Linked DNA regions of Ovis aries. The protein of the gene in region 2 purifies or fractionates together with the protein of the main gene of each other region. This does not show direct contact. Links are inferred from orthologs where the notes say so. Each region holds a gene or a part of one and is shown on either strand. Other genes may lie near its edges.

What was found. The genes of interacting proteins can lie anywhere in the genome.
Region 1: the proteins of SNRPB2 (region 2) and SNRPD2 purify together in Homo sapiens (affinity purification with mass spectrometry; 3 studies listed by BioGRID and IntAct, with this or other methods). This does not show direct contact. The link is inferred for Ovis aries from reciprocal best matches to the Homo sapiens genes SNRPB2 and SNRPD2.
Region 3: the proteins of SNRPB2 (region 2) and RBM17 purify together in Homo sapiens (affinity purification with mass spectrometry; 3 studies listed by BioGRID and IntAct, with this or other methods). This does not show direct contact. The link is inferred for Ovis aries from reciprocal best matches to the Homo sapiens genes SNRPB2 and RBM17.
Region 4: the proteins of SNRPB2 (region 2) and SF3B6 purify together in Homo sapiens (affinity purification with mass spectrometry; 4 studies listed by BioGRID and IntAct, with this or other methods). This does not show direct contact. The link is inferred for Ovis aries from reciprocal best matches to the Homo sapiens genes SNRPB2 and SF3B6.
Region 5: the proteins of SNRPB2 (region 2) and PHF5A purify together in Homo sapiens (affinity purification with mass spectrometry; 4 studies listed by BioGRID and IntAct, with this or other methods). This does not show direct contact. The link is inferred for Ovis aries from reciprocal best matches to the Homo sapiens genes SNRPB2 and PHF5A.

What each region holds. Positions count from the first base shown.
Region 1 is NC_056067.1:53,040,963-53,045,067, forward strand, and holds the start of SNRPD2 (small nuclear ribonucleoprotein Sm D2), read right to left. Parts: upstream 2,809-4,105; 5' UTR 2,747-2,808; coding exon 2,745-2,746; intron 1,392-2,744; coding exon 1,212-1,391; intron 242-1,211; coding exon 67-241; 3' UTR 1-66. Other genes in the region: QPCTL (glutaminyl-peptide cyclotransferase-like protein), read left to right, coding at 3,563-3,772. UniProt on the Homo sapiens protein: Plays a role in pre-mRNA splicing as a core component of the spliceosomal U1, U2, U4 and U5 small nuclear ribonucleoproteins (snRNPs), the building blocks of the spliceosome.
Region 2 is NC_056066.1:10,391,370-10,394,883, forward strand, and holds part of SNRPB2 (U2 small nuclear ribonucleoprotein B''), read left to right. Parts: intron 1-232; 5' UTR 233-258; coding exon 259-322; intron 323-698; coding exon 699-871; intron 872-3,514. UniProt on the Homo sapiens protein: Involved in pre-mRNA splicing as component of the spliceosome. Associated with sn-RNP U2, where it contributes to the binding of stem loop IV of U2 snRNA.
Region 3 is NC_056066.1:10,877,105-10,881,128, reverse strand, and holds the start of RBM17 (splicing factor 45), read right to left. Parts: upstream 2,809-4,024; 5' UTR 2,675-2,808; intron 561-2,674; exon of another isoform or gene 453-560; intron 1-452. UniProt on the Homo sapiens protein: Splice factor that binds to the single-stranded 3'AG at the exon/intron border and promotes its utilization in the second catalytic step. Involved in the regulation of alternative splicing and the utilization of cryptic splice sites.
Region 4 is NC_056056.1:31,741,301-31,744,180, forward strand, and holds the end of SF3B6 (splicing factor 3B subunit 6), read right to left. Parts: intron 1,078-2,880; coding exon 837-1,077; 3' UTR 769-836; coding exon of another isoform or gene 679-768; 3' UTR 509-678; downstream 1-508.
Region 5 is NC_056056.1:218,391,219-218,395,452, reverse strand, and holds the start of PHF5A (PHD finger-like domain-containing protein 5A), read left to right. Parts: upstream 1-1,426; 5' UTR 1,427-1,461; coding exon 1,462-1,513; intron 1,514-1,944; coding exon 1,945-1,968; intron 1,969-2,463; coding exon 2,464-2,630; intron 2,631-4,234. Other genes in the region: ACO2 (aconitate hydratase, mitochondrial), read right to left, coding at 892-927.

The sequences.
Region 1 (4,105 bases), on a different chromosome or scaffold from region 2:
ATTTCAAGTACAGAGGGCAGGTCTTCGCAAAACCAGGGGGAAAGTTCTGACAGCAGGGAGGAGGCCCTACTTGCCAGCGATGAGCGGGTTCCTCAGGACCACGATGACAGAGTCCCCGCGCAGGAACATCTTGGAGATGTAGCGGTCCTTGTTGACTGGCTTGGACTTCTTCTTGCCCTTGCCGCTCTTGGGGACCTCCGTCCACATTTCCTTCACATTCTCCAGCACCATGTTGCAGTGCCTGGTGGGGACGGGGAGGCAGCAGGACTGAGTGAGGGGTGTGTCCTGACCCTTCCTCTGGGCGGCACTGCCTCTGGGAAGGGGGAGAGCCAGGGCTCCGAGGCTCGGGCAAAGGACTTCACCTTCTGCGCCTCAGTTTCCTCGTCTCTAAAATGGAGACATTCATGGTGCCTGCCTCCTATGGCTGTTGTGAAAATTAAGTGAATCAACACACTATTTTTCTTATGGGCATGTGTGATGACAGTGTGGAATAGCTCGGTCAACAAACGTTTACAATGATTAGAGCAATGAAAAAAAAACCAGGTAAGAGCCCTGTCTTCATGGGCTCTGCAGGCTAGTGAAGGGAGAACACGAAGCAGGTAAACAAACACACCTGTAATATACTGTCAGGTGGTAGTAAGTGCTATGAAGAAAAACTAACGCAAGGTAAAGGGATGGGGGGCTTCCCAGGTGGCTCTAGCGGTAAAGAACTTGCCTGCTAATGCAGGAGACATAAGAGATGCAAATTCAATCCCTGGGTTGGGAGGATCCCCTGGAGGAGAGCATGGCAACCCATTCCAGTAGTCTTGTCTGGAGAATCCCATAGACAGAGAAGCCTGGTGGGCCACAGTCCATAGGGCTGCACAGATTCAGACACAACCAAAGTGACTTAGCCCTCATGCACACACACAAAGGAATAGGAGGATACAGGGAACTATGACTGAGTGAAAGAAAGAAAAGAAAAAAATTGGGAAAGCTCTGTATCTTGCTATATAGTAATCTACGGTGAGGAAAGCACTTCCCAAATGCTAACTAAAGGCTGCATGTGTTTACTGAGCATTTATCATGTGTTAGGTACTGAGCCAAGTGCTTTTCATACATAGTATTACTGAAGCCTCATTACTGTTCTGAGGGATATTATTATGACGCATATTTCACAGGTAAGGAAACTGAGGCCCGGACAGCATACCTCCCCAGACCCTGGTGCTCACCTGTCGAAGGCCTTCACGCGGCCCAGGAGCTTCTTGTTGTTACGGCAGTTGATGAGCACTTGAGTGTTGTTTTTGACTGACTGCGTGAGCACGGAGAGCGGCCCCGTGTTAAACTCCTCCTCCTCCCGCTTCTGCAGCTCCTCTGGGGTCATCTCACTCTTGGGCTTGTTGAGGAGACTCCTGAAAAGACAAGTATGGAACCCAGAGGTGAGCAGGCCCATAGCCTGGGTGCTCATGGCCTCTCCCTTGGTGTCTCCCCGACACATATCCCTCTCTTCGTACTCAGTCCTCTCTCTTGCTATCACCACTTGGATGCCTAATGGATATTTCCAATCCTCGCATGACCTAGACTGAACTCCAGACCCCCCATAACCCCAACTTAATACTATCCACAGCCTTCCTCATCTCTGTCAGTGGTGACTCCATCCCTCTGGTTCTTTGAGCAACTTGACTCTTTCTTCTCTCACATCCTACATTCAATCTGTCAGCAAATCCTGCCATCTGCCACTAAAACCTATCAGAATCTGAATTTCTTACCTTGGCTTAAACCTCCATCATCTTTCCTAGGTCTCCTTGCCTCCACCCACGCTCCCCAACAGTTCGCCCTCCACAGAGCAGTCTCAAGGGTGGTGTCAAGAATCATCTCACTCTTGAGTACCCTCTCAGTGTAAACAGTAAAGCCCAGCTTTTACCCTCACTCTGTTCCAGGCACAATGGCCTCTTCAGTGGTTCTTGAAGCTATCAGGCAAACCTTCTTGGGCCCCTCTATTCACTTTTCCCTCTGCCTAGGTACGTCCCCAGGTACCTTTGCAGTTTGCTTTCTCACTTTCTTCAGGTTTTTGCTCAAGTGTTGCCTCCTTCATGCGTTCTGTCTCTCACAAGAGACATTCCACGCTGTTTTACCCTGCTCTGTTATTTCTTTATTCAAAACCCTATTCCCTAACACATTCTAGAATTTACGGATTTATTACCAGCACGTTTCCTGCCTGCCTCTTCCCATCCCGTAAGATGTAGAAGAGGATTTTTTTTCCCTTGGGGAGAGTGGAGTAATTCAGTGATATAAGCTATGCGTCTAAAGCAGCCTAATACACAAACAACTCAATAAATAACTGTTGAGTGACTACATAAGTAAAATCATCCCCATAACTCGTTATCCATACCAATGGCGGATGTGATCGAAAAGCCAATTGTCTCCAGCTACGCCTCTTACCTTAAGACCGCTTTTCCTACAAGTCCGTACTCCTCATCTCCCAGGTTTTTAATTCGTAAAAACGCTTCCTCTTAAACTTCACTTCAATAAGATTGCTTATTTGGGAAAGCCCAGCCTGTTATCTGATAAAGCTGTCCCCGCTCCCGAAGTCAGGATCCTTCAAAGGCCCCACGTCCCCTCGCAACTCATCAGTAGAAAGATACGCCACTTTACCCCCAAATGTTTGCTTCCGCGCCCACTTCTGCCTACCCACTTCAACCGGTAAGTGGCCAAACTTACACCCTCAATCCCACTGCCGCCACCCAAACCCAGCCCGGCCTCACATGATGATGATGGTGACCGCGTTTTCAAGCCACTACCGTCTCCTCCGTGGTGTGCCTCCCGAACAGAGAGCCAGAGGCGGGACTTCCTCTTCCTACGGCCCACTTCCGCGCGCGCCTGCGCATACCCAACCAGCGAGTGGGGCGTGGCCCGTTGCTATAGCGATCTCCGCCCTCGGCGGAGGCTGCCGAGTAGAAGCCTTACTTAGTAAGTAGCTCCAGGCCACCATTCAAGACAGTGCTGGGCAGATATTCACGACCATGGAGAGGAAAAGAAGGCGGGACTGATTAAAACCATTTTGTTGCAGAACCGCATAGGTTGAAAGAGGGGAATACTAGCCATTTCCAAATGCCCGCCCGCTCTGCCTTTGGGGGCGCGGCCTTGGCGAAGCCAATCCCCTCCTCGCTTCAGGGATGGGCACCTCCCCTTTCCTTCGGAAACTGTTGATTTACGTGTATATTGGTTTTTCTGGACCGGGGAGAGGGTCCATCCGGGAGCGGCGTGGATTTGCGCCCAGTAAGGCTAGTGTTTTCGGTGATCAAACGCTTCTCATTGGCTTCCCCTCCTGCGCTGAGGCGGCGCCTACTTCTTACGCTCTCCCTTTTGGGTTGTGCAACCCGGGGGAACCAACCCCCAAAGCTCCCTGAAGACAAGGAGCCGCGTCCTCAGGCCGAAAGTCCCATTTGCTTTACTGCTCGTGGGGGGGGCGGATGGTGCAGCCGCTCTTGTTGTTCATTGGTCTGGCTTATTTCATGGGGCGGGACTTGGCTCGGCCTTAACTCTATCCGCCGTCTCCGACCGGTTTCAGGGCCAAGCTGCCATGCGTTCCGGGGGCCGCGGGCGGCCCCGACTCCCGGTCGGGGAACGCAGCCTTTTGGAGCGACCCTCACCGCCCAAGCGGCGCCTGATACCGCGGGCACAGCTGTTGCCCCAGCTGCTGCTGGCTCTGACAGTAGCCTTGGTGTTCTATACCATTTGGAGCAGCTGGCATAGCCAGACTGAAGAGCTGCCGCTGGGCCGGGAACTGCGGGTGAGGACGGGCGGGGACATGGGCACTGCGGAAGCCCTTACTCCTTGCCTCCCCTTCCCCACGGTCTCATGGGGAAGACCCTAGGTTGGGTTAACCTGGCTTTGTCTTTACCTTATGGCCCTAGCTGCAGGTGCCGCCGTCTCCGTTCTTAGAGCGCATACCCCTTTCCAATGCAATGAGGCTTCGGGCTTGTTTTGTAATAGCGGTTACCCCGTAAGAGAGTCTGGAGTAGTAAGACTTGGAGTTCTGGGTTCTAATCCTAAAGGCAGCTATTTGGAAGAGTCCCTTCCTCTCGCTGGGCCTTGATTTCCCTCATCAGGATTGCCGTGGGCT
Region 2 (3,514 bases):
GTGCGGCACCAAGTTTTCAACCTGAGAACTGTTCTTTTCTTTAAAAAGGAGGGCTCGCAAGTTTTGGAGAGGTTTTAAAGACTACCCCCAAACTGATATTTTCAGTTTTCAAACTGACATTTGGGGCTGAAAGAATTGAAAAGTCAGTACCTTTGTTCTATGTCCTTAATGCCACCCTATGACGTGAACGAATCCTCCCTGTTTAGTAACAGAATATTTATTGTCTTTTTAGGCTATTGGAACAGTTTAACACAAAACATGGATATCAGACCAAATCATACAATTTATATCAACAATATGAATGACAAAATTAAAAAGGAAGGTAAGTGTTTTTTAAAAAAAAAACTAGTGTGTTTATTTACTACCATCTTAAAAATTATACAGCTTCAAAAGTTCTCATCTAGTCATCTTTCTCACTGCGTGAAATAATGGTTTATCCCTTGTTGTGTAAAGACTTTAAGGCTTTTTAAAGATTAAAAATAAGTAGGGGCTGAAGATGTGTTGAATCTGTTTTCACTCAGATGAAACCATTTCAGAAACTCTTAAAATTAAACAGCCATTGGGAATAGTATGTTATTAAAATATGTAACTTTGTATAAATAAATGAGCGGAGTGCATTCAGTGCAATGTCATGTTAAGAAGAATTTCAGTCATAGTTTCATCCACAGATGCCTTGTTTCCCCTCTAATTTTGTGCAGAATTGAAGAGATCCCTGTATGCCCTGTTTTCTCAGTTTGGCCACGTGGTAGATATCGTTGCTTTGAAGACCATGAAGATGAGGGGACAAGCCTTTGTTATATTTAAGGAACTGGGCTCATCTACAAATGCCTTGAGACAGTTACAAGGATTTCCATTTTATGGCAAACCAATGGTAAATCAATCTTATTTTGGCTTTAATCACTATTAATGGTATGGTAGATTTGTAAATATACCCTTGACAGTGTGGCTGTTGCTTTCTGCCTTCTGTGTAGTGGGTTGGGGTTCATTTATGTATTTATTTTTATAGAAACACATTAGTAGTAGAGTTTGTAATATTCACTTTTTGAGTTATGATACTTCAGATGGGCAAAAGCAAAATACAGAAGATGTAGAATATTTTAAGAACAATGGCAGTATAGGCAATACTGTCCTCTCAAAAGAACTAAGAACTAGAAATTAATTACTCAGAAGATTAAAAAGAAACCTCTGTTTGTAAACTTGTAAAACAACCACAAAACAAAAATGGTGAGTCAAAGAGGAAATCCAGTCCGAAATTTCAAAAAATACCATAGTGAAATACTGTACTTTAGACGCTATGCAGTCAAAGCGCTGATCTAAGGACAGTTTTAAACTCAGGAGAGACCTGAGATTTCACGTTTAGCTGTTGGGTCAAAGTTGAATTGTGGGAAGGGAAGCAGGGAACTCAGGAGGCATTGGTATAAGTCAGAGATGGTAGAGGATTGGATCAGGCTGGAGAAAGAGTATATAATCCAGAGGTCTCTTGGTGTTTGAATGGGTACAGTCTCCCTTGGGTATGGATTTTAGTGCTTTTCTTCTGGAACTGGAATGTGATGGGAAGGGGTGTTGGGGAAAGAGCCGAGGCCGAGAGTTTCAAGGTCCCATGTTCTCATTCTGGTTCTGCCATTAACTGGCTTTTTGTGCTTGTTCCGTTTTACCACCTATTTAAAAAAAAAAAAGAATAAGCAGACTGAATATATTTTGGTCAAATTTACAGGCAAGCAAAAACTCTTATAAAGGACCAGATAATACAAGCTTTGTGGACCACATAGAGTTTGTACTGCACATTCTTAGGTGTGTGTGTGTGTGTTTTAAATAACCCTTTAAAAAAAAAAAATAAAATAAAAAATAAAAATTGTAAACAGAAAGAAAAAAGTTCGTAACTCATAGGCCATACAAAAACAGGCCATGGGCTGGATTTGGCTCATAATCTGTAGTGCAGAATACCACTGTGATCTCTTTTTACAAATTAAAAATCAGGCACAGAAATCTTACGTTACTGTAACCAGTGGCATCGTCAGGACTTGAAAGCTAATCTGCTGACATCCAATATTGTGATTTTTTTTTCCCCTCAATTAGGATAGGCATCTGATCTGTAAAGGGCCAGATAGTAAATATTTTAGGCTTTACGAGCCAGATGATCTCTTTTGCAGCTCCTTAAACTGCCTTTATAGTTGGAGAAGCAGCCACAGAAGGTGTGCAGATGGAAGGGTTTATCTGTGTCCTAAGAAGACCTAACGCAGAATACCAGGCAGTGTTGGCATAGTCAGCACTCCACGGACCTCGGTACTGCACTGTTTAATTCAGGACTGAGCACTTTTTGTCTGTTAAACTGCCACACATTTTCTGCCCATCCTCTATCCAATGCTCCTTTTCCCATCATTTCCCACCTGACTGTTTCCCACCATCGTATGTTTGAAAACTTGTATTCCAGAAAAACTGAGAAGGGGTAGTACCTACCTACCCAACTTACAGTAAATTGGCATTTCCTGAAACCAGTTTATCTTTCTCAGTAGCATGAAGAACTAGCATAATTGAGATCTCAGCTGGTAGTAGCATAAGACTGGGTTTTAGTTTAAATCTGAAATTACGTTAGTATGGAGAAGCCATTTATTCCCATAAAGGGTTTTAGGACTGTTTGTTAAGTTGGGATGACACGTTTGCATATGCCTGGGATTGAAGGCCAGGAAAGCTGGAAATTGTTTGCTGCATTTGGCACCGGCTTCACCTTGCCAGCTAGTTACTAAAAATCAAAGGGACAAGCCCATTACACTGATCTCATATTGGAGGTATTTTAGGAGGTCTCTTCTCTGCCTGCAGGAAAGTAGGAGGTACTGCCAGATCTCCAGCATCCTGGAAGAGGGAAAGAATGTTCCTTGAGCTATCTTGTTTATATTTACTTAGGTGGTTTCAGTTGCTCTTCTATTTAACGCCAACATACCAGATCAGAAATGAGCAAAATTGTCTATGACTTGGAACTCAGAACAAAATTATTCTCTGTGATTCAAGGACATTTGATTCTTTAATTCCAAAAATACCTCAGTAAAGTGAAACCATCTTCCTAAGGGTGTCTGTCTTGAAACCTCTGGTATAAATGTAAATCTTGCGCCTTCTCTAAGCTCTGGGTGAATTTTTATCTCTCATCAGTATTTAGTCTACTATTTTTCAACACTGGCACTACTGACATTTTGAACTGAATAACTTTTTTTTTTGTTTGTTTGGGCTTTCTGGTTCATTGGAGAGTGTTTAACAGCATGTCTGGCCTCTGCCCACTTAGCGTGATGATACAGTATCTCCAGCCAGCAGTGCCAGCTGTGTTCTGGTGGGCAGATTCTCCTCAACTCGAGAACTGCTGCTCTAGACCAGCCAGCTAAGAGCGAGGGCTGAGATGAGAGATTTTCACAGGCCACAGGGACAAGTACAAGATCACCCAAGATCTTCTCAGGTCAGAAGAAGGTTGAAGACCCAGGGGAGTTGGGAGAAAATCCCTGGACCAAGTCAGAGTTAGCCCAGATCT
Region 3 (4,024 bases), about 490 kb from region 2:
CACCTTGCTCTGCAAGCTTCGAAAGTCACTGTGCAGCAAAATCTTATGTTCATTTAAAGTTCCCCGTTTCTGTCCTCAGAACCTTCAAAAGCATACCTTAAATATCACAAAGTGATGCCCCCTTACTAGCATCTGCTAGCTTTCTGTACCTCGGAGCTTACACATCAGATCTCATCACAGTAAAGGCAGAAGAGCTTTCTTCACTTTTCTCTCCACAGACCTTCAAATTCATAGAACTGGATGGACCACAGCAACAACACGCTCTACCCACCTGCACTTGTAAGACTTGCTTTAAGTAACTACTATAATGCAACAAGCACCAGTGAGACAAGAGACCACCCTCCACCCATATGGTCCCCATCCCATCCCATCCACCCAAGTGATCTCCTTGGCCCAGCAGCAGCCTGAACCCCATGCTAACTCCTTCCTTTCCTCCTTTTACATCACCTTACCGACACAGCTTGCTGCATGCATTCCTTAAAAGGCGCATGTATCTTCACTGTGGCTGCCTTGAGTACTTGTAACTATGTCACAGTTGATTCATGCATCCTCTCTGCGGCAAACGCTGAAAATAACAAGCGCACTAACAAGACTCTGTTAGGACCTGAACTTCACCTGCTTAATGCTCAGATGTCTTTCAGATGATACAACACATTTATTTCATGAAGTCTGGTGGCAGGTAATAAAAACGGAGCACTTTCTAACATCTGAATATATCTTAGGAAGCCAGGACCAAATGGAAATACAAACAGTTGATTTTCATAACCTCTTTAAAATACCGCCTCACTACTGACTTCGTTTTCATAGTAACATCAGCCTTTGATCAACACATCTTCCAGGTATGCTTTTTCTTTTACTTAAAAAGAAACACGGTAAACACAGCTCTTCTGGAAGAATGATGACTTTTCAAGATTCTACCCAAGCTAGAGAAGTATTTTTTTTAAAACACGTGCAACTAGCAAAAAAGAACAAGGAAGACGTCTTCTCAGCAGCACCCCATGTGCTCATCTTTTAAGTATATCTCTGAAGCCTTTGCTGACAACAAACCTCACATAAAACCAGCTACCCCCTGAACACACGTCTTGTTAGGCTCCACTGGGTGACATGTCTGTCTCTTACTATATCATAAACCCCTCAAGGCGTTAAGGGATGTTTCTGTCTTCATCTTTATATCTCCAACTGAGCACCTTGCGTGGGACATTGTTAAGCACTTTTTAAATATTTTCTAAATATATCAGTGAGTGGTCAGTCAGCACACAGCACATTTCTTAGTATATACCATTTGCTTTATTTCTTCTAAAAATAAATCACCTACAGTTTAAGTTACTAATGTAATATCCCATATCGCCTAAATATCCTCACTATAGTCAAAATGCCTGTGGCCCTTAACTCACAGAACTGTGGAAACTGAACTGCATCCTTTAAAAACTCCACCTGTTGAGGGGAGACACAGTCCGCACCTACCTGAGAATGTCCAGAATTTTGCCCTCCCCTAGAATATCCTATTTCCCACCCACTTGCCTGCCTCCCCGGTGGCTCAGAGGTTAAAGCGTCTGCCCCCAATGCGGGAGACCCGGGTTCGACCCCTGGGTTGGAAAGATCCCCTGGAGAAGGAAATGGTAACCCACTCCAGTATTCTTGCCTGGAGAATCCCATGGACGGAGAAGCCTGGCAGGCTACAGTCCACGGGGTCGCAAAGAGTCGGACACGACTGAGCGACTTCACCATACACTATTCTGCCTGCCCTTAGGAATAAGCACCTCCCAGGACCCTCCTCCATTGATTTCTCAGAGAACCGTCTTGATCTGACCTGACTACCCACGTTCACACTATCTACCTTTCCTGCAGTTTCCAGAATGCACTACGGTGCTTCCCTTCCGCTACCTTTACCCTTATTTCCTCTGCAAGGAAGCTTTCCCCCATCCTGCACATTTAACAAAACACCCCCAAGGCTCAGTTACACGCCTCACTCCTTAGGAAGCCTTTCCAGACCGACCGAGGCGTGGCTTTTTACACTTGTTTCTCTGGAAACTAAACTCACGGGAGCGTAGAGACAGAATCTTACTGATCTAACTATTTGCTGTTCCTAAACATGACCTGGGCAAAAGGAAACGCTCAAGCAAAACAAAAAACAAAAAACGCTTTGTGACTGGATATCGAAGCTAAAACACCGCTTTAAGAAAAGACAGGGTCCGAGGCAGTGCCAGAGCCTCGTCCAGGTAAAACCCTCGTCTCTGAGGGATGGCCACACCTGATTCGAAGCCAGGGGCGGAAACGGATTCCTTCCTCGGCGGCCCCGGCTACTGGGTTCAAGGGACCAACAGCTGTTCCCGGACAGACCGACAGCGAGAGGGAGGGGACAGGAGAGGGAAAGGTGCCCTCGGGTCCAGGAGACACAAGGCCAGAGCAAACAGACGAGGAAGAAAAAGGGGAGAGCAGGGGTGCGAGGGCCCTGCAAGCCGAGGCACATAAAGGACGTGGGGAGCAGGGAGAGAGAGAAGACGGGAGGCTTGCCAGCGGCCAGGGCAGCCAGCGGCGCGGGGCCGGTCAGGACCCCCGCCCCGCGCCCCTCGCGGTGCGGCCTAAAGCCGCGGCCTCGCCTGTCGCGACGCCCGCCCGAGGAGGCGCGCCGGCCCCGGCCCACGCCCGCCCACCGGCCCCAGAGACCACTTACCCGGCCCGCCCGGCCGACGATCCCGGGCCGCGGCGGCGCACCGAGGCCGACGCGCCGCCGACACCGCGGGCTGGGGGCTCGGCGTCAGCCCCCGACCGCAGCACCGCTCCGGCGCCAACCCCTACGCAGACTTCGCGGGACGCGCGGCGGCGCGGGGTCACGGCGCGTACGGCCGGAAGAGAGGCACCCGGCGCCTGCGTTGAGGGCGCCCCTGCTGCCGTGCGCCCCCTGCCGTCCGGAGGACCACGCCCGCAGAGCCGAGAGATTTCCTCTGCAGCCAAGAGGGGTCGCAATGGCAAAAGGTTGTGACGCTACAGACCCGGGAGCCTGGCATTGACCTCAGGCGGAGAGGAGGGCTACAAATTTGGGCTTCATGAGGAACACATGTACACCCGTGGCGGATTCATGTCAATATATGGCAAAACCAATACAATATTGTAAAGTAATTAGCCTCCAATTAAAATAAATAAATTTATATTAAAAAAAACTGTTCATCATCAGTGTGCACAAAGCTAAAGATAAATCATAGTAGGAGAGATGAATGGCCAAAGGGCTGTAAAAGACAAGACCAGGGGTGCTGAATTAACTGTGTGAGGTGAAAGTTGCTCAGTCGTGTCTGACCCTTTGAGACCTCATGGACTGTATAGCCCATGGAATTCTCCAGGCCAGAATACTGGAGTGGGTAGCCTTTCCCTTCTCCAGGGGATCTTCCCAACCCAGGGACCAAACCTGGGTCTCCTGCATTGTAGGCAGATTCTTTACCAGCTGAGCCACAAGGGAAGCCCAAGAATACTGGAGTGGGTAGCCTTTCCCTTCTCCAGGGTATCTTTCCAACCCAGGGATCAAACCCAGGTCCCTCACATTGCAGGCGGATTCTTTACCAGCTGAGTCACAAGGGAAGGGATAAGAAAATCATGGGTATGAAGTTAGAGTTACAGGATACATGTTATATACGTATACATACATGTATACATACACGGTACATGTTATAAAGCCTCATGATTTCAAAACGATAGGACAAAATTTGGGACGAAAGAGAAAATAGGATTCTGTGTCAATGCGATTTTCTCGTCTATATTTGAAATCATATACAAACCCTAGGTCCCTGTCCTTTGAAGTAAAATGATTTTGCTTAATCTCCCGGGCCTCCCCAAGTCTCAAACGGCTGACTCAAGAGTTAATGACTGGGAAATGTGAAGATATAAAATAGCTATTGAGCCAGGAAACTGGTAACAATTTATACTATAAACCCACCACAGAGCAGAATCACTCACTTCCCAGGGCCCTGAACGATAAAGGTCTGACACACGTCCCTAGGTTGTTTTTACAGGAAGCAGCCTCTGCCAGATG
Region 4 (2,880 bases), on a different chromosome or scaffold from region 2:
AAACAAATACTACCACCCTGGCAGCTGGCTCTCACATTTCTAACAATGCGTTATCATCTGAATGACCACTTCTAGAATAAATATCTGAGGACAAGGGTACCAATACTGACAAAGGCATTTCACTAACTGTAAACCAAATATCATTCAAATGTACTCATGTGCTTAATAACCAGTTGATGTCCAAAAATATTTTATTCATTCACTCAACATAAGCTTTGGTTTCCTTATCTGCAAAATGGATACCTACCTTCACTGAGTTATTATGTAGATTTTATTATTAATAGACATTCAATAAGTAATAATACTCTTAATAAGTTCCCCTGATGGCTAAGCACTGGATTGGTCACTGGTAGTATTGAGAATATCAAAAGGTCCCCATTCTCAAGAAGCTCAGTCTCTAGGACCACCTACTACTGAATAATTCTTGATATGGTTCAACTGCTGTTTTATTATTATCTTTTTTTCCTGGTATAACACAGGAAAAATTTTAAGAGAAAACACTGACATGTTTTACCCAAAGCTACAAGTTTATTAACATAATATATTCTAACATATATCAGTTTCAAGTGGGTCTTTTTCAATCTCAAATAAGAAATCACAATATTCAGCATTTAAAGAAAAAAAAAATAGTGGTGGTTATTCACGGGTTTTAGTCCAAAGTGAAAATGCAGAAAACGTTTACTTTGGTGGATCTGTGTTGATGCCATATTTCTCCTTAAGAAGCTTCAACTGTTCTTCCTTCTTCTTTGTGTCCATCTTCTGAAATGCCTGAAAGTGTAGTATGGACCAAAGTTAACAGTTACCAACCTACAGTCAAATGAATTTTACCAACAGCACTAGCTATAAAATAACTCTGGAGATACATCTCCCCTAACGGTACACCCTTCACTAACTCTTACACGGGTTCCCCAAGTGATGAGGACTGTGGCTGTACTTACCCTGTTGGCATTATAGTACAAAACCACAAGGTATCTGTTACAAACATTGAATCCTGACAGGTGATCACATGCATTCTTGGCATCAAAGATGTCTTCATAGACCACATAAGCTGTTCCTCTAGTTTCAGGTGTGTTCCCCCTACAAAGTTGAATTGGACTTAATTAAAATACACATTTACCTGAAAACCTTTAGGGGAAACAGATATTATGGACAGGTATACTGAATAAGCCTTTAATTTCTTGAAATAGGTAATTTTTGTTTTAAGTACCATATCTCAGACGAAACTTACTATATTAAGAATACTAATATGGTTACTAAAACAATAGCAGCAAAGAACCAGCTTGAAACGTTCAGTCTTCATGTTCACTACCCTAAGAGAGAGCAGTCCTCATGTTCACTTTCCTACTTCTCATGCTAAAAATCAATGTTTAGTCCTACACTGGTAAGTATAGTACCTTAGGAGTGATAGCTGTTACTAACAAGGATGTCTAGGGTACAGCTTTTCTCAATGTGCATTTATGTAACAGAAACAATACGTTTTGGTTATTTACCACACTAGTCCCTTGTTTCTAAAGACTTTGATTTTCTCCCTCACTCTAATTTTAGTTCCAATTCTTAAACACAAGACAGTCTCCATCAATGTAGGGATCAAATGTTTCTGAGCAGTATTTTACTAAAGCTTATAAAATCCATAAAAATAAATTTTGTGTCTGTGGCAGGAGTGGGGTTGGAAGGAAGCCCCTACCAAGATGGTAAAATTAAAAGCAGTCAACCACCATCCTCTATGACCAGGACAGGTGTCCTCCAATGTAAAGAGAGAGCTAATATAGTTTCTTCCATTTTCCTTAGAAGATTCTTTGCCCTTTTAAAACAAGAGTCAACTGCTAACTTTCAGACATTCACTTTTAGTTAACATCTGCACTTTTGTGCATTACACAGCCCTCTGTAGCCAGGGAAAAGGGCCGGGTTTCTGGAGGGATTGGGTTTGAAGTGTGCTTGTTGGTGGGATACCTGTGAGTCAGAGAAGAATGCTGGCAGGTGGCTGGACACGGAAGCTCATGGATATGGAGCTGCTTCTTGTGTAGGAAAGCTATAGGGCTGCCACCTCCTCTCTTCACACCAGCTTCAGTTAGGGGAGGAGCTAGGGAAGAAGTGTGAGGAGCAACAAACTGCAGGTGGCAGATGGCCATGTGCTTATGAGTGGTGACAGCGGGCAGAGGTCCTATTCAGCTTATGCTCTGGTAAGCTAAAGATGGATATCTCCTTGCCTCCATCTGAGTTCCAGCCACCCAATGCAACTGCACAATAAGGTTTATCAACTGCCACAGTGACTGCACAGGGTCAAGGGAGGCAGTGGGCCCACGGGAAGGGGAGGCACCTGCCTAGATTTGATCTAGGGTGAGACTACAGTTTTGGGCCCTGGTCAGAGCTTGTGCTTCCTGTAAAAGGGAGAGGTGTAGGGGACTGAGGGGGTTGGAAGGTGCCAGGACCAGAGAACGCTCTCACTTTGTCATACTGCATGGGCCTGATGAAGAATTTTATTATACTCATTCAAAGTAACAACTTCTGACTTTTAACCATTTTCAAGAATGCTTATTCTTGAAATATTGGGGAATACTCAAAGGAAAAAAACACTGTCCCAAAGATTTTCCCCAAAATCTTTTTATTTGGGAATAAAACCATTAAAAACAAAAAACAAAAAAACCTAACGATTTAAGTTCCAAAAGGGCAAATACATGTTTTTTTTTCTTTTTACTCCTACAGTGAGTGCTATGCATACAGCAAGTGCTAATAAGCATCTGAAGGATGGAGATATACTTTTTCCTATCAGTTCTCACACACATCTTTTTTTCCAGGAAGCTAACAAAACAAGAGCATCTCTCTTTTTCCTCTTACATCTTCTTAGGAAGTAGAAGCAGGACAGGCACTAAACCCATTTTA
Region 5 (4,234 bases), on a different chromosome or scaffold from region 2:
TTTACCACCCCATCTAGTAATTGAAAAGCAATTGAAAGTGGGCTCAAAATACTCCATTCTGGTACTCTCACAAATACAAATGTCAGCTCCAGGATCACACTCTGGCTCAAAAAGTTCTGAGGGCAGGGTGACAGGAACAAAGAGAACAGCGGGGTAGTAGGGCAGATGCTAACGCCACAGCACTTGGGTAACACTCAGAGCAGGAACTTTTACCTAGCAGTTTCATCACCTATCAAATGAGAATAATCATCCTACCAAATGATCATATAAATTAAGCGATATGATGAGGAATGGTCTTGCAATCTGTGCAAAGGTGAGACTACTGTTATCATTACTAATTACTACGGCTGGGGACGGAAGGTCCCCTCGAACTCTTGGCTGTATGTTCTGCAGGATCCCCTCAAGATGGAATATAGTTTTTTTCTCCAGACTTCGGGTTTGACAACGATTGATGCACTTGGCTAGCAAGTCTCCGCTGCTGAGAGATGAGAAGTGAGGCCTTCGGGTTCTGGGCCTAGCGGGCTCAACAACCACCGCGCCCCCCCAGTCACCTTGTCCTCACCTTGAGGAACAGAAAACAAAACTCTATGGGGTAGAAAGTGAGGTCCACGAAAACGAGAAAGAGGTGCCTCCACTCTTCACCTAGCTGCCGCTTCTTAGACCCAAGCTTCCAGCTGGGCGGGGACAGAGCAGAGAGAGAGCTGACAGAGCCAGGGACGCCTTGACCTCGGGCGCCGGAGGAGCGAGCGTGGGTGCTGGCCCCGCGACAGGGACAGGTACACGAAAAGCCGGCCGGAGGTCGGGCCTGCCTCGTCTTGCCTCGCCCACAGCCGCAATCACAGGAGGAGGCACCCCGCCCCCGCGAACCCAGAGGGCCCTCAGTTCGCTCACCTGCAGCCGGGACACCAGTAGGCTGTAAGGCGCCATTTTGTGCACTGACAAAGATGAGGTCGCTTGAAAGTGACGTGCCACTCAGAGTATTTAAAGCCTTCAGGCTGGGGGCGTGGCCTGAAGAGAAACGCGGCCTCGTGAAGGCTGGGCTTCGGCCGAGGCGCCTACTTCTGCGAGCGCCTTGGGCGGAGTTCCCGAGTGAGGACTCGAAAGGGGAGAGGACAAAACTACAAAAAAACACTTAAGGAAGTAGATGCCGGGCAAGAGATGTCTTATCGAAGTGAAAATTTCACCTTTGTACTTTGCAATTTGCCTCTCCCATTCTAGTTCTGGAAAGATTGTGATTTTTTTTTTTAAATAACTTTCATACACCTGCCAGGACCTGACCCCCGTTAGGACGGAAACCTGGCTTTGAAATTTGAACTCGCGAGAACCAGCGGGGCTTGGTGCAAAGAGTATAAACGCTGACGGACGTCTAGAGAACCAATCACGGCGACCAAGAGGCAGGAGCAACGGAGGTTAAAGGTCGGACGGAAGTTCTGTAAGCTTCCGGTGGTTTGAGAGGGAGCTATGGCTAAGCATCACCCGGACTTGATCTTTTGCCGCAAGCAGGCTGGTGTTGGTGAGGCAGCCTTCTGCCCCCGGCTCTCTTGGTGGGAATGGTATTAGGACCTAAGAGGTCCGGGGTTCCCGTCACTTGCTTAGGGTCTTGCCCGGGAGGCGCCACGTTTCCCGCCTCTAGGTTGAAAGTGCAGGAGCGCGCGCGTTTGCGGTCTCTTGATGAAAAGAGGGCGGGGGCTCGCGTGCTGGGAGCCGGAGGCAGGCTGCCGGAATGGGGCTGGGAGAAATTCTTAGTTTGCGCAGGACCTGTGAGGGGCTTCAGGAGGCTCTGGATTTGGTTCGGATTGAAGTTTAAGAGGATAAGATGGATAGATCCCCTCAGGGCTCACTGCAGTCGCTGCTCCTGTCTCCACCGCAAGCTCGAAGATGTTTGTCCCCTCTTCGTCAAAACTTTAATCCTAATTGTGCTCTTTACCGTCTTTTATCTTGCAGCCATTGGAAGACTGTGTGAAAAGTGTGAGTGGAACACGCCTCCCCAATTAGCCCACCTGGCCCACTCAGTTTCTGTAGAGCAAGCAAACGAGCATTTTCAGCGGTGGCACTAGGAGGACTTGGAGTAGACGTGACCCAAAGAATGTCAACACAGTGCCAGGCTGCAACTAAAGGCCACCACCCTCACTCCAGCTTGCACGTTTTAGACACTAGGTTTTGAGAGAATCTTTAGCTTTGGACCAGAGGTAGCATGACCCCATCGACATATACAGCGTTCTGCCAACTAATTTATATAGACGTATCTACCAGGTGCTCCTCTAAGGTCTTTACCCAGTAGTTGATTAACTTTTCCTTTGTGTTGTAGCGATTGAGATGGACACGAGGTAAGTCAGGTTTTGTGATGCCAAAGTAGAGGGTCCTCAAGTCACTGTTAGGAGACTGGTGTAGTCCCCATAGCGGGAGGAGGGCAAAGGACTTGAGGTATTTGCACATGGGTGTAACTCCATTCTCTTCTTATAGGTGATGGCAAGTGTGTGATCTGTGACTCCTATGTGCGTCCTTGCACTCTGGTGCGCATATGCGACGAGTGTAACTATGGCTCTTACCAGGGACGCTGTGTGATCTGTGGAGGCCCTGGAGTTTCAGATGCCTATTATTGTAAGGAATGCACCATCCAGGAGAAAGATGTGAGTATATATAGGAAGCTTTTCATCTGATTTTCCCTTGTGTTTAGTATCACTTTGCCATCCACAGCAAACTGTATGGTCCGTGGATGAATATGTTCATTTAGTCATCTAGGTTATAATTTCTTCAGTGTCTGTGAGCCAAACTGGGTGTAGCCCAACAAAAGGCAGTTATTTTGTATCAAGGACAAAAGTGCAAGAGAAGCAAATTTTGGTCAACACTGGCAATTTCGAAAGCCCTCTATTCCTTTGATGTCTCTCTCATTTTTATTCACAAACAATATCTTTTTTTTTTTTTTTAAACTGTGCCACATAGCTTACAGGATCTTGAACCCTGGCCACAGCAGTGAAAACCCAGAATCATAACCATTAGGCCATCAGGAAACTCCCAATATTCTGCATTTTTAAGTCCTAGCATGGTGCAAGGTGTATAATAGCCATTCAGTAATTCTCTTTATTATCATTAAGGACTGTTCAGGTGGATGTATTGACTTCTGAATTTGGGACTATTCAAGTTGATTTCAGCTCTGAGTAGCTAGAGAATACTTTTGCTTTGATTTTTCAGAATTGCTTGGGATTCTGTTTGGACGTTTTTTTCCCCTTAACATTGTATGCTGGCAAATGCAATTGAGCCAGTTGCCAGGATACAATAGAGAGTTATAGATCTGTACCAAAAACAGGTTTCTTGGAGGAGAGGAGGACAACCCATGAATCACCTTCTGTTCTTATGACAGTAAAACAAAGTGTGATACAGTAACAATAGGCTAATATGAGGTATCTGGTTACCTAATCTAGGATAAGACATAAGGCAAAAAAGAAATAAGAAATTCTTTGGCCATGCTGGGCAGCTTTGGGGATCTTAGTTCCCCAACCAGGGGTGGAACCCAGGCCCCCTGCAGTGGAAATGCAGAATCCTAACCACTGAACTGCCAGCGAATTCCCAAAAGATAAATAATTCTTTATATTCCCTTTTACAAATAGTAGATAATTAAATATATATATATAGGGCTTCCCAGTTCGCTCAGATGGTAAAGAATCTGCCTGCAGTGTGAGAGACTCGGGTTCATCACAGGCTCAATCCCTGGGTCAGGAAGATCCCCCTTCTATATAGATCTTATCTCCCTTATTCTTCAATAGCTTTGTTAATTAGGGGGTATTATTATCCCCATTTTACAGCCCCTCTCCCAGCTAATAAGTGTCAAGTCCCAAGCTTTCTGACTAAACCTTGTGGTGTCCTTTCATAAGTCTGTGATGTGCCTGTGTTGAAGAGAGACGATTCAGCTACCTCAGAATCTTTGCAGTTAGATTTTGTCTACCTCTAATAAGTGGGACATATTAGAGCAGATAAACCTATTTTTCACACCAGTAAAGTCTTCTGTTATTTAGGGAAGCGAGAACGATCGTAGATAAAGTACCAGAAACATAATTTCAGTTGGTGATTTGAACGTTCTCTCTCTTTTGGGGGGCTGCTCTGGGTCTTGTGGTGTGCAGGGTTACTTGCTCCAAGGTATGGGATCTAGGTTCCCTGACCAAGGATCAAACCCATGTCCCCTGCATTTTTAAACACTGGGCTACCAGGGATGTCCCCGATTTGAACATTCTCTTAT